Linked DNA regions of Nothobranchius furzeri. The protein of the gene in region 1 binds, or shares a complex with, the protein of each later gene. Links are inferred from orthologs where the notes say so. Each region holds a gene or a part of one and is shown in the gene's direction. Other genes may lie near its edges.

What was found. The genes of interacting proteins can lie anywhere in the genome.
Region 2: the proteins of acadm (region 1) and etfa are in contact, whole or in part, in a crystal structure (PDB 2A1T), measured with the Homo sapiens proteins. The link is inferred for Nothobranchius furzeri from reciprocal best matches to the Homo sapiens genes ACADM and ETFA. Residues at the interface, in NP_000007.1 of Homo sapiens: Pro163, Lys173, Pro211, Gln232, Arg235, Glu237, Val251, Glu253; in NP_000117.1 of Homo sapiens: Arg223, Lys226, Arg249, Asp253, Ala283, Ile284, Gln285, Glu304.

Annotation. Positions count from the first base shown.
Region 1 is NC_091751.1:41,388,618-41,396,157, forward strand, and holds the start of acadm (medium-chain specific acyl-CoA dehydrogenase, mitochondrial), read left to right. Parts: upstream 1-3,541; 5' UTR 3,542-3,674; coding exon 3,675-3,689; intron 3,690-4,926; coding exon 4,927-5,032; intron 5,033-5,136; coding exon 5,137-5,234; intron 5,235-7,540. Other genes in the region: rps8a (small ribosomal subunit protein eS8), read left to right, coding at 175-281, 511-610, 797-972, 1,334-1,463, 2,243-2,352. UniProt on the Homo sapiens protein: Medium-chain specific acyl-CoA dehydrogenase is one of the acyl-CoA dehydrogenases that catalyze the first step of mitochondrial fatty acid beta-oxidation, an aerobic process breaking down fatty acids into acetyl-CoA and allowing the production of energy from fats.
Region 2 is NC_091744.1:68,359,892-68,367,255, reverse strand, and holds the start of etfa (electron transfer flavoprotein subunit alpha, mitochondrial), read left to right. Parts: upstream 1-3,423; 5' UTR 3,424-3,529; coding exon 3,530-3,568; intron 3,569-4,382; coding exon 4,383-4,532; intron 4,533-4,631; coding exon 4,632-4,713; intron 4,714-4,875; coding exon 4,876-4,958; intron 4,959-5,104; coding exon 5,105-5,204; intron 5,205-5,341; coding exon 5,342-5,452; intron 5,453-5,541; coding exon 5,542-5,643; intron 5,644-5,802; coding exon 5,803-5,871; intron 5,872-5,962; coding exon 5,963-6,045; intron 6,046-6,615; coding exon 6,616-6,681; intron 6,682-6,934; coding exon 6,935-7,015; intron 7,016-7,364. UniProt on the Homo sapiens protein: Heterodimeric electron transfer flavoprotein that accepts electrons from several mitochondrial dehydrogenases, including acyl-CoA dehydrogenases, glutaryl-CoA and sarcosine dehydrogenase.

The DNA of each region.
Region 1 (7,540 bases):
ACGGTTCAGAAATGCTTGAGTGATGTGATGAAACTCTTAAGCGGAATCTAAATTCAAAATGTAGACAAACATTACCTTGGAGAACTGATCACTCAAGCTTAGAAAGTAAATACTTTCATTGAACGTCGTTTCAGGTACAATAATCTAGCCTTTGGTCGTGTTTCATTAATGTAGGTATTTCGAGGGACAACTGGCATAAACGCCGCAAGACCGGCGGCAAACGTAAGCCCTACCACAAGAAGAGGAAGTATGAGCTCGGGCGTCCACCTGCAAACACCAAGGTGAGCGGTGTGGTCTGTAGGGTTTGTTGTAAGAAACGTGAGTGATGAAAACCTGACCTTAGGTAGGCCCGTTTTTGTGCCGTTTTGGTGCAAAGCTTTGGGCTTACCAATGGTAGGACTTGTCATAGTTACACTGACACGCATAAGAACGTTACTACTGCTGTTGTACCACTGCTGCAGCTTTAAAAAGTAAAAAAACAAACAAACATACTTTTCCTTTCTAAAACAGATTGGAGCGCGTCGCATCCACACAGTGAGGGTCCGTGGTGGGAACAAGAAGTACCGTGCTCTTAGGTTGGATGCTGGAAACTTCTCATGGGGCTCTGAAGGTAAGTCTCCACATTTTGAAACCCTTCACTGCTGCACCTTTCACTGATGATAACTTTGTCCAGTTCTGCTACTGAGTGCTAGTGGTGATATCAAAGACTCTGAGAAAGACCTTCATGTACATATAATTTGTTGGTGACTTCTGGATATATTTGAGTTGGTGGTAACTCCTCATTCTTTGTGTTCAGGTTGCACGCGCAAGACCAGGATCATTGATGTGGTCTACAATGCTTCCAACAACGAGCTGGTCAGAACCAAAACCCTGGTAAAGAACTGCATCGTTCTCGTGGACAGCCTTCCCTTCAGGCAGTGGTATGAGGCCCACTACGCCACTCCTTTGGGACGCAAGAAGGGAGCTAAGCTGGTATGTTTTAAATCAGTTGGTTTAGTCAAGTGTAGTTTTATGAGTGCATAATAGATTTCTTTTTGCACAAGATTAGGCTAATTTATATGTGCCCTTCAAGTGAGTGGCTGTAGATTTACCTGGTTACTTAGTGATGTCATGTGAGAAGATGAGAAACATGAGGGCCTGCTGTCTTTCTATGATGATGAATGTTCAGTTCTGCTACTGAATGGAAGTGGTGATACATAAGACTCTGAGAAAGACTGTTGAGCCATTTAAATATGTGAATGTTAATATTGGTAATAAGGCATGTTTAAAATAGTTTTGGATTGAAGGGTTTATTTTATCGCATCCTCTAATAAGTTGGTGTCTATTTCTGCAGACTCCAGAAGAAGAGGAGATCCTCAATAAGAAGCGATCCAAAAAGACTCAGAAGAAGTACGACGAGCGAAAAAAGACTTCCAAAATCAGCACTCTCCTGGAAGAACAGTTCCTGCAGGGAAAACTGCTTGGTCAGTTTAACATTAGAATTATGGGCTCGACACACGGGAGGCGACAAACGACCGCGATCAGCAAAATTTGTCGCTTTTATTACCTGACGTACGGGAGGCGGCCAGCGGCAAATCCGTCTGCGCATTCTGTTCCATGATGAAATCGAAACTTCCGTTGTTTTGTTTGGCTGTGTCAGGTTGGAGGGAATTAAGGTTATTTAAGCGGATCAGAGTTAATAAAGCGATAGATATGTTTCACAAGGTGCTGTTATGTGAAAACTTACTTCTGATTTTAATATATAAAACAATAATAATCAACTTCTCCTTCATGTTTGCTCGGAGATGTACGGAGCATCCTGTCCGCTCATTGGTCAGTGAATGAAACCTCCGTTTATTGGTCCTCGTCCGAGCGACAGCGACGAAAAGTTGAAAATGTTTAAACTTTCTGGGATTGCGTCGCTTGTGCACGAGCGCAAAATTTCACACGCACGTTTTTCGCGTTTCGCTTGGTAGGAGGGAGACCCGCGATTATTGCTTTGTCGTGCATGTCTCATTGAAAATGAATGGAGGAGAGGCGATGTCGCCTCCCGTGTGTCGAGCCCATTAGTTTGCATGCTTTATTTCATTGTGCTTTATAAAATCCACCAAAAGTAAAATACAAACAAATTAAACAAAATCACTTCAGGAAGTAGTGGATCCACTGAAACTTGAAAGAGCAGAACATTTTGAAGTTTGTGTTTAAGTTACCAGATGTAGTAACTGGTTAATGAGCTCACCTGATTGTTCTTGATGTTTTACAGGTTGCATTGCTTCCAAACCTGGCCAGTGTGGCAGGGCAGACGGCTACATCCTGGAGGGCAAGGAGCTCGAGTTCTACTTGAGGAAAATAAAAGCAAAGAAAGGCAAATAAATGTCCAGCTGTTTGATATGCCAATAAAATTTATAAATGTCCCACACGACTGCTCCCAGAGTCCAGTTATTGAAAATAGGCATGTTGCTGCTGTTGTAGATGTAGTGTAAATTCTGTATTTCAGGGTTTAAGATTAAAAATGATGAGCAATTTATCCCAATTTATTTCTCAAAAAATAAATCCTTACACGTTTATGATTGAACATTTTAAAGATGACCACAGTTAAAAACATTGGTTATACCCCATGGGGAGAAAGATTTGTTAAAATTGAAATCGCCATCTGCTTGTAGATGAGCTGCTCTGCAGCACAGTTGTCTTGCTGCCCTGCAGTGTTGACATTTCCATGGTTGACAAGGTGGCTAAACTGTAAACACAAATTAGTTTGTAAGGGCCTTTGACACGTTGGAATAATTAGACTTAATCAAAGTTTGGTTTTTCTTGTAATTTTATTTTCAGCCATTAAATTTGTTTTATGGTTTGTAATGATTTGGGTCTTGGTGTATATCATTTCCTAATGTTCACCAATAACGTTTTTAGGTAGTTCACGTATTTTATACTGTTTTATAGACTTAAATTGATGAGTTTGGGTTAGGGGTTTGCAGGGGTGTCATTTTTGCGATTTAAATCCGGCCCGCGAGATGATTGTGTAAATCTATTTTCTGACTACGATGTAGTCTGAAAATAAGCTTTCATTTTTCAATTAAACTGCTGGTGAAAGCTAAAAGATATCAGGTATCAGGAGTCAGACATGCATGAAACTGATATAGCCATATGATCTGTGAATCAGTTATTTGAATTACTGAGGAATAGTCTGGGTTTTTTGTTTTGTATTTCACATTTTCAAATACGCTTCATGTGTTTTATTAATATTGATGTTGTGCTTAAACTATTTTAAATACAATGTCCTCAGGCTCCAGCTTTATTTAATGTTGATCGTATTAAAACAAAGAAAACAATCTAAAGCAGTTTTTAATTTATATATACTTTAATTTTACTGGTTTGGCCCACTTGGGACTAGATTTTCCTCATTTTGGCTCCTGAGCAAAACTGAGTTTGACACCCCTGATCTAAAGTTTCAAGTCTTGATCTGTGGTGTAACCGGAAGTTCCCTTTGCTGTTCAACTGTTGACTCCGTCATGTTCACTCAGGAGAATAAACAGCAGAGGTGAGTCTCGTTAGATAACTGGGACAAAAGTCACAGTGCGGGTGCGGAGAAATAACACGTGACCATTTCCGCTGCTCTGATTGGTTGTGATGATCACATTGCTGTAGAGCAGACGTAGCCATCAGTTTATGCTACAAGCTTCATCTGTGAGGTGACAATGCTTCTCAATAAGGTACATGACTCCGACTTTAAGGATAATTTAGCATGATCTTGTTATTGTACTTGCTTGTAACTGCCGTTCAGAACAGAAATTCTTATTTTTCCATTCAAATCCGGTGAACTTCAGGGGTTACGTCACAAGCTAGCTAGTTAGCAAAATGCTCCAAAAATCTGAATACATAACTTTTACCAAGGTCATAACTTCTAAGTATTTGGCTTTTCCCTCGTCCTTTAGGACACTTGTGCGTTTATATAAAATTACACACATGTTATGGACTTGTGTCTATTTTTTGCCAGTCTTAACGTCTCTGAAGTTGGTTTGTTTTTAATCATTTATTCAGTGGATCGTTTTTTAATCATGAACGTAAACAGAAAATCTGCGTCTTCACAAGCAACAGCTAGTAATGTTTGCGTGTTTGAATGAAAAGCTGCAAATCTGACGAGTTCCAATTTGATGAGCATGACATGAAAAACCACATTAGCTTTTTCTAGTCAGGTGGTCTTCTCTTGAAAGGACCCTGAACAGTAGAGCACCCGTTCTCTGATCTTTGTTCTGCCTTTTTATTATTTGAAACTAAGCTATTGAAGCTCCTTGAGCTTAACCAGCTCATTGCTTTGCCCAAAGGTTCACGTCTAAACGCTTCATTCAATGTAACACCTGCTCATTACAGCCAAGTCATTATAGTAAAACATAATATAGACGTTATAGTGTGTAACTCCACTAAACTATGTTTAATGATTCAGCTGTTTTTTTTTATATTTCTAATTCAGATTTCAATCTGTTATCTCTTTGAATGTCATTTGTCTTAATATCAGACTTTAAACAGATTTAATGTTGGAAGCAAGAAGCTTGTTTGTTTACAGATGTTTTATGTTAATAGGTGGTTAATATAATTTAGTAACAGGACTTTTTGAGTTCATATGGGAACTCCTATTGATGATGACCTCCCCTGGGATTTTGGGGGACTTAATCACCATTAATAATACTACCACTCAAATACTACCACTTACAACTACAATTCTTCCACTGTGTGTTTTTAATATTCTCTGGCCAAGTAAAATTTGCAGTCACACTTTGCTGTCCTGGTCCATTTTCCATGAGTTGATGTCTTTAGATGTGATTGTTTTTTTATTTAGTTTTGTGCTTATATTATCTGATCAAATACACCAGCTAGTAGTTTCTTTTGTTTGTTTTTTGAAAATTTTCAACTTTAAAGTGTGAAAACAACTTCAGTTTTGATCTTGCACAGGTCTTCAGAGCCAGTCTTCAGTCTGGGATTCGTCTGCAGAGCTCTGGCGTGACTGCAGCCAAAGCTGCAGCAGCTGGCCATGCAGGAGCACCTGGCTTTTCTTTTGGTTAGTGGGGTACAGTGTGTTTTTTAAATCACAGTCCTGTGGGAAGAAATTCTGTCCCTAAAAGTCTTTTCACTGTGGAGAAATAATTTTCTCCTATTCTGTAGAACTGACGGATCAGCAGAAGGAGTTCCAGCAGCTGGCGAGGAGGTTTGCTCGAGAAGAGATGATCCCTGTTGCAGCTGCTTATGACAGGAGTGGGGAAGTAAGAGCAGCAAACATGGGGCTAAAATGTTCATGTCCAATAAATATCACACTACTTTTAACATCAGAGTAGCAAGAGTCATGCAAAAGGTTCGTCACCTTTTAGGCCTTTGAGTTGTGTATTAGTTTAAACCTGTCGTTCCATCCTGAGAGCAACTGCCCTGCATGTTTTAGATTACCTAGACTTATGGGGTGTTTAAGGGGTTTCTGAAGAACTTGTGGACATGCTGCTTAGGTCATTTAGCTGTTAAATTGTGATGGAGCAGAAAAAATAACACTGACTCGACACTAGGGATGTGTATTGGTGAAATTAGGGTGATACGATACGTATCATGATAAAAGGGAGACGATGCAATATATCACAATATATTACAATACATTCAGACAATTGTAGCGCTTTTTTTAGACTGAATTTAATATAGAATTCAATTAACAGTCCAAACTGGTGTTTAACATGAGGTATCTGAACCATGTTACAGGGATTTACGCCGGGGACACACTGGCCGCGGAAGCGCCGCGAAAATGGGACCGCCTTCATTCGGCGCCCTTGTTAAGCTATTCTATAGACCACATGGGCCGCCGAAGCGCCGCGAATTGCCTCGCGCCGGCGCTCAAGGCCGCGCCGTGCAGCGATCATTTCGGCGTTGGCTCTATTTTTTTCGCGAGCCGCGGGTGAATCGCGTCAATTCTGGCATGATTATTTACGTCCCATTTCGGAAGAAACTGCTAGGATACAGCGTGATACGTGATCCAGAATTGGAGCGGGTTCCAAGAGATTCAACTGGCAGAAACAACTCATACCATAGGTTCACACACACACACACACACACACACACACACACACACACACACACACACACACACACACACACACACACACACACACACTCAAACGTAGAGGAAAAGAGCTGAGAAAAGGCAGAGAGGAAATGGAGGACACCAAGTGTTTAAAAGAAAAACTACAGCTGAGCCGAGGCGCGCCTCGACTGGGGCGCGCCTGATCTGAACTGAGGAGCGGCGATCAGCGGCCGAATTTCGTGAGCGATTCGCTTCTCGGCGCTTCCGCGGCCGGTGTGTCCCCGGCGTTACATTTCAATGGTGGAAACAAAACCAACTGCACACTGCTGCCAACTAGCGGTTGATGTTTGAATTGCACACAAAAAAAAGAAAATACACAAATGTTTTAATGTAAATTCTTCCCAAAATTAGATATGCGGCTTTTGAATATTGATATAATATTGCTAGAAAATATATCACGATATATTGACAACAATGAAGCAAAGAAACAGATCTTTGAGTTTGTTAGTAATTTTATTTATTAGGTGCATCTAACCTGTTCTATTTTTCTCTGAAATGAGATCAAATCAGTGCTTCTATGGGTTGTATCCTCTCTGCACTAGAAAAATTTACTTTACTATAATGTTCACTGTAATACATCTTGAAATCAAAGATATTGGTCAATAATGCCAAATTTGTGTTTCAGTCATTTTTATACTGGCTTAAAAATAATTCATTAAGTCTACCAAGCAGGGGTGAAGAATGTTTTCAATAGGGCCAGCCCAGTAATGATCTTGGACCAAAATAAAGGGGGCAGAAAGTCAAATAAAGGGGGGCAGAAGATGTTTTTCCAGACGCCAAGAAAAATTAAATACCAAATCCCCCCTGCAAAGTGTGTCACTGAGAGTTTAAAACAAAAATTATTTTTGTGCAAATATTGGTGTACTCACCTTTAATACTAGTTATTAAAATGCAGCAGTTGATGGACTGGTGCTGATCAAAGTGGAGTGCATCAAATAAAACAATATTAACATAAAGGTGAAACGTGTCATCATAATGATTTATCCTTGTCTAAATAATATTCTTACTGATGAAATCAGAAAATGTATAAACAAGTAGAAATTACATTTAAGTAATAAGTAATTTTCATAACAACTGCACTAGTAGGACTTTAGCATGAAGGTGTCTCCATCCTTCAGTGCTAACCCTGACCAGCTTTCAACAGTTAAACCTTTTTGTCTTTTTACAGAAACTCAAAAAAGGCTTTTAGGCTAATTAAATTAAAGGTGTGATTCCCTGAAAAAAAAAACATTTTATTGATTATTTCTGATAATGAGTCTCTGAGTTTTTCATGCAAACTGAACATGAAAATAGTCTCCTACACCTATCTCCTGCATTAGCATCTGATAGAAAGCAGACGGTGAAACTCTAGGATAGAAAATCCTGACAGATCTATGTCACGCTGTCACTTAACATTCATGGACTCACCCATCTTGACTCACAATGGTGAAGGCTGTTGTTTGTTTAGCA
Region 2 (7,364 bases), on another chromosome or scaffold:
AATTTCCCCAATTAGGAACTGTTGCATGAAAATCCCTGCTATGTGTCATGCATAAATAGAAAGCATTGTTCCTCACGGTTTTGTCGCTGTGCTGCTGCTGCTGGAGCTGCTTCATCAGGATGGACTTCTTCTTGTCCTTGCAGCGCTTGTTCTGAAACCAGACCCGGATCACCCGGGGGCTCAGGCCGGTCATCTCCACCAGCTGCTCCTTCATCAGCGCGTCCGGCCTCGGGTTGGCGTTGTAGCAGGTCCGCAGGGTGTGCAGCTGCTTCTCATTCAGCACCGTCCGGACTCGGGTCGTCTTCTCGGATTGTTTGTGGACGTGGTTTCGGTGATGAGGCGGGTGCCGGACCGAGACCGGGTCTATAAGGCAAAAAGGACATATTTTTCAACAAATACCCTGCAGCAATAATAATAATGATGATGATGATGATGATGATACCTGCAATGTGCAGCGGTCGGGTGCGGATGTTCACGGGACTCAGCGGACTGCCTGCAGAGGCCCGCTCCACCAGCAAACCGTGATCAGCCCGACACAGCAGCTCGTCGTCCTGCAGGGAGAACTCGTCCCCCGGCAAGAGGTGTCGGCTGCACACAGAGCACCGAAAACACTCCATGTGATACACATTGTCCCGGGCCCTCATCACCAGGTCACTGCTGCAAAAGCCCATGTCACACTTTGCGCACTTGATGCCAAATAATCTGGAGAAGGAAGGAGCGCGCATTTACAACACTTAATTTGCATTTACAACAATACTTGCACTTCCCTGCGTTCAAAAATTAAGACGATTTTTTAATTAATCCACAAAAAAGTCAACCAGTCCTTCATACACACCGTGCATAATCTCTTTTACAGTATGTTTTCCCGTCTCGGACGAAGCAAGTGCACGTCTCGTCCAGGTACTGGTTGCACTCTGCGCACTTGAGACAGGCTGCATGCCACTCCAAGTCCGGAGAGACTCTCAGGATGTACTGGTCGTGTATCTGACTTCCACAGCCCACACACATTGCAATTCCCGACTTCTCTGCGGAGAAGAACCAAAGCATTAATGTAAGACATGCATGCGCTCTTTTAATCCTGATTAGATCCTTTTAAAACCACCTCCATACTGACGAGAGGACTGTTTAGCACAACAAAGCAGAATATTACTATTATTACTATTGTTGTGATGAATGAAAAAGCTATATCACTGTTTAATGTTTTAACAAGTATTTCTATGTACCTTTTACCCTTTTTAAAATATTGATTGTTTACAATTTGTTGCTTTTTTTGGGACAAAAAGTCGGCAGCGACAAATAAAAATCCGACAACAACTACCGAGAAAAGACAGAAACGCGTCTTACTTTTTGAATAATCCCCCATATCATCCAAAAAAGAAGTGTTGATCAGGATGTCCACCATGCAGGAGAAAGGTCGAGGGCTAATCTGACGGATGGAAGAGAGGAGCGCCAGAGGAGACCGTCCCGTCCCTGGCCGGATGATAAACTTGTATTCCTCCTGCGGGAGGTGGAGAGAAAACAAAGACCATCGACCAGTGACGTCTGCAAAAACCCGGACGTGTGTGGGTCCGGGGAGAGGGTACCATGTAAGTCTCCTCATGGCCCCCCTTGCTGCTCTTTTTATTGCTCTTTTTTGTTGTTGTTGTTCTTTTTGAGTTTTGAGTGCAAACATGGCTGCGTGTCCAAGCGGGACGGTGCATTTTTTTCTTACTAAACTTGCTGAATAATAACTTGCACTTCAACATTTTACTCCTCATCAGAATCTCCATATTTTATTTACAAAAATACTTTATTTGGTGGGTTTTAATCTCAGGTGGCATTAAATAAAATTAGGCAATACAACATTTGCACGCTATATTTTTATTTATAGCCTATGTAGGCAAACAAAACTTAACACATTTTTCGTTCTTTAATTTTAATATTTAATTTGAAACATTAATGTGGTTTGGTTTATGTGGGTATAACAAGTATTTAGTCGTACCGCTGTGGGGAGCCCTCTACTGGGGGAATTTTCGCACGCAGAATTTGAATATCAGTAGGATGCACAGTTGGGGAAATTGCACTGGAATTGGGCGTTATCAACAATTAAACGCTCTTTGTTGTTGTTTACCAACAAAAGGAACAAATTCTGTAACTCAAAGCCCATATTATTTTCCTTTTTTATTTGTCTTGAATTTTCTTTCAGACCATCTGTTCCTATAATTGTCACGTGTATGAAAGTCCATGAGGTAAATTGTCAAATTAAACTTCAAAAGTTTGTATTTTTTTTACATAAACGCAAACGATTTAATAAAAGTTACCACTTATAATAATAAAAATAATAATAATTATGATAATAATAATAATAATAATAATAATAATAATAATAATAATAATAATAATAAAAATCATCATTATTATTTAACTGATTACCAATAAAATAACATTCATGTGGGTAATGAACCCATTGCTGTTGTTGAAATTAAATAAACAAACAATAAGGGAATAAAATATGTTTATTCAAACACAATTTAAAAGTATTTCAGTTGTGCTTCATTCATCTCTTATTTTAATTAATTAACCCTCTGATGCATGAATTATGAGATCTTCAACCATGATTTTTTAAACAATTTTTTTCATTCATCTTTAGGTGTGAATGAAACAAATTTCAACAAATATTTTTGTAATATTTTGTTAATTTACTAATAATTTATTACATGTCCATCTCAGTGGACAGTGTGCATTCTGAACATGAAATATGTTGGCTTGACTTACTGAAGTCCAAATGGAGGGGCTCACATGCAATAAAGTCTTCAACAGCTGTGCTTAATAGCAAAAATAAAGAACTAACAATTTTGAGTACCTGTCCACTGTAGTGACCATTATGCATCAAAGGGTTAACACGTTATTCTCAAAATATTTACATATTTTGCTTATATGACCTCTTCATGTAATTTGTATTATTATATCAAAAGGTGTCAGAAATGAACTTGACAGACAAAACTCGTCGATAATTTATCAGCTAGTTTTCTGCTAAACTGAAACATATTTGAACCTATTTAGAGTTCCTGGTTCTTTGTCAACATTATTTATTTATAAAAATAATTAAGATGATCAAAAGGAAAAATAAATCCATAAAGAAAAATTACACCCGTAAGGATTTATAGTGAGAATGAATACTAAATTCAAAATAGCTCAAATAATTAACAGAATGTGGCCAAATAAAAACACATTAACAATCACAAGACATGATAAAAATTAGATTTACACAAAAACCCACGCGATAACACATACATGTAAACAAACGAGCAAATTGTTAAATAAAATGCAACAAAAACAGGTGGAAAAAGACTGTGTGTTGCTCTACAATTCTGCAAATTTCCCAGTTGGAAACATTTTTGCTTTTCTGTCAGATCAATGAGCAGAGCTGGACTTGGTTTGTAACTATCGCGAGATTTCGTTAAATACGTCAGAAGACCTTTGGCACAGATCGGGAGAAAGCGTCCTGCAAAAATCTTTCTGCTGCTGCAGCAAGAATAAAGAGACAAATATGAACAGAGTTTTGACCAGAACATCCTTGAAGAACTTGGTACGTACACGACTGGGCCCAAACAAGCTGGTTCTCAGTTAGCTGTAGCTTTTGGCGACAGACTTGTGGCATGTTTTTTGTAGCAGCTGCTAACTGTTAGCCTTTTTCATTCAGAGATAGGTCGTTCTCGTTTATTATAATTAGGGCAAATTTAAATAAACACTGCGTTCTTGTAATTTAACAATGAACACATTTCTGTTTTCGATATAAAAGTAAATGCAGACGTTTTTATCTCTGTGTGGCAGACAGTTGTTAGCACTGTTAGCCGTTATAAAACCTTGTGTTGCGAAACTGCTACATACAGGTGTCACCTATGTAATGCAATGATCTTACAGTTATGACAGTATTCCATCAAAACACGAGGTTATTAGTGTGTTTTTCTGGTGTTAGTATATTGAATAAAAGGTTCAGTTTGTTATACGTTTCTATAAAATTGTTCTTAAACGTAATTACATAATTTTATAGGCGTTTGATGTAACTGGCTTCATATAAGAGACTTAAATCTAACGCATGTATTATTTTATGTTCTATTCTGTTCTCCTGGCTTTATCTGAATGACTTTACCTGAAGACCATCACTAGACCAGGCTGGTATTTTCCTGTTTGGCTTTGACTCTAAGCTGATCCGGAGGTTCTTTGCACACTATCGTAATGCTGTATTTGCATTTTCCCTACACTAGATTGTGAGGTCTAAATGATGATGAGTGAATAAATAAACGAGTGACTAAATTAAAGCTAATATTTGTTCATTCATTAATTGGGTACAACACACTAATATTTAGCTGGTTCTGACTGAAATGTGTTTTTCCCAACAGACAGGCTTTGTCCAGAGGTTTCAGAGCACCTTGGTTGTTGCAGAACACAACAATGATAAGTTGACCCCCATTACACTCAATACCATCACTGCTGCCAGTAAGCTCGGGGGAGATGTGTCTTGTCTGGTTGCTGGAACAAACTGTGCAAAGGTAGGAACATCTTTTGTCAATTTCAATAATCCACACTTTGTTTTGGCTGAAAGTTGTATGATTTTACGCAGATACATTATTTTGTTTTTCTCCTTTCAGGTTGTGGAGCAGATCAGCAAAGTACAGGGTGTGAAGAAGATCCTGGTGGCCCAGCACGAGTCTTACAAAGGTGCTTTGCCAGGTAAGGTATTTATTTCACAGTAACTTCCCCCTCTTTTTTTATTTTCACATTTGCTTTACTTGACACGTTTACAGGTTAATAATGATGTTTATAACTAGCACCCCTGCTGACAAAGGTCAGTCATTAACCTGAATTTGTTTTTTACCTTTTTTTTTCTTTTAGAGGAGTTGACTCCACTCATCTTGGAAACACAAAAACAGTTCAGCTTCACTCACATCTGTGCCGGTGCATCAGCCTTCGGAAAGGTAAGTCACAGTTCCCCGAGTTTCATTTAACATATTCTGATCTATTAAAATGAGCAAACACAAATCTTACCATCTTTACTTCCTTTGACATCTGTTCTTACAGACATTTATGATCAACAGCCCAATATGTATTTTTTGTCTGATAGAACCTGCTTCCTAGAGTTGCTGCCAAGCTGGATGTTGCCCCAGTTTCAGATATTATTGAAATTAAATCTCCAGATACTTTTGTCAGGACCATTTATGCAGGTATGGCATGTTTTGTGCACAGTAGGTGCAGGACCTTTTCAGCATATATCCTGGTTCATGTATTTGTTTTTAAATATAAATATAATTTGAGTGCAGTCTTTAGTAAAACCGTAAGTTTTAGCCCTGTTTTGCTGCAGGAAATGCCCTCAGCACCGTGAAATGCAGTGAGCCAGTCAAGGTCTTCACCGTCAGAGGGACATCTTTTGAGGCAGCTCCAACAGAGGGAGGAAGCGCTACGTCAGAGGAAGGTAATACACACCTGTCCAGCTCTGAAATCAGAGGTGAAAATCAAAATCATGTTTTAAATATGTTAATCTTCCTGTTGTCTGACTTGCAGTGGCTGCTGCTCCCCCTGCTGGGGTTTCTGAGTGGCTCGAACAAAATTTGACCAAGAGTGACCGGCCAGAGCTGACGAGTGCAAAGGTTGTGGTGTCAGGAGGTATGAACTCCCTACCGAGATGTAAAAACCTGTGCTGAACTTTGAGAAATTGTCAAATGACATCATTTATTTGACTGTATTCCTAAAGTTTTACAATATCTTATTGTTGAATAAACAAAGATTAGCCATCCAAAATGGAAATTGCTTCTTTTATTTTAGGAAGAGGCTTGAAGAGTGGAGAAAACTTTAAGCTGCTTTATGACCTTGCTGACAAACTGAACGCTGCTGGTACTGTGTGGTCATTTTTTTTATCATTTATTATCCTTATGGGTACTTTTTACCTGTTTTTTTTTTATTCTAACACTCCTTTTTATTCCAGTTGGTGCATCCAGAGCTGCAGTGGATGCTGGCTTTGTCCCTAATGACATGCAGGTCGGGCAGACGGGCAAAATTGTGGCTCCAGTATGTGGATAAACCCATTTTTATGCAACAAATCACGATAAATGACAAATGATATAAATAAATATTAAAACCAAGTTAAGTTAATGTTTTAATTTGGGCTAACTACAGTTAGCCCGTTAGCCCTTAAACCGCATTTCAGTGTGATTCTGGAGACTGCTCCTTTAAAAAAAAAAAAAATAAAAGGTTAACTTGCCATCATGTGATTTATCCAGGATACTCCACTTGTGATTATCCACACATTAGATCTTGGGGAAAGTACATGATGGCACTTTTAGGGCCCTAAATGATTTAGCTGATCCATTAGAGCAGAATACAGCAGATGTCTGCCCAACCATACCAGACTGTCTGTTTTCTTTTAGTTTTTTTTCCCATTGTTATAATACATTTCTGTTCACACATTTCAAGTTTACCTCTCTGAAACATCAGGCTGTGCATTAAAGTTACACTGAATATTAGTGTTTTATTTTTTAATTATTATTATTATTTTTAATATTAGTTTTGGGTTGGATCAACCTTGTGGATCTAGAATAACCTTTAGTGTCTCTTGTTTTCTTTTTGTTTTGCTCGTAGGAACTTTATATAGCGGTTGGTATCTCCGGAGCCATCCAACACTTGGCTGGAATGAAAGACAGCAAGGTAAAGTCACTAGAGAAACGTAGATGGTGTTTTTTCATTGTCTTATTTTTTCTTTTGAAATTTAAAGTTACACCTTTTCATTTAGTTTAAAAATGAGCAAAGTTATTGCTAACATGCTCAGTTTAAAATTAGTAATAAAACACACCACCTGAAATGAAACAATCAGCTTTTGGTGAATTTTTACATGTAAACAGACTTTATTAATTGTAATATTTAGGTTTACAAACACATCTGATCTCTTTTCTTGCTTTAGACTATAGTTGCCATCAACAAGGACCCAGAGGCTCCTATTTTCCAGGTTGCTGACTACGGCCTGGTAGCTGATCTTTTCAAAGTAAGTGTCTTGGATTATTGTTGCAGTGGCAGTAAAATCTCATATGAGACTCTGAGGAAGGAGTTGCTGGACTCTCTCTGCATGTTTTCCAGGCTTTTAGCTGTGAATGACCGTAAGAATATATAACATTTGTTTCTTCTCTTATAAATTTTGCACGATGCCTTATTCCACCTCATGGAAATGTGCAGCTTCTGAATTATTAAGCTGTTGAATTAATCTAAGGAGGGTTCTGGCCGCAGCTTGCTGCTAAGACAGGAACACATTAGCATCTCTGGGGATATAAAAAACTGATCCAGAGTGAGATAAAAGTTGGCCTCAGTTTTGCTCTGTGCCTCTAGCTGCCAGGCCT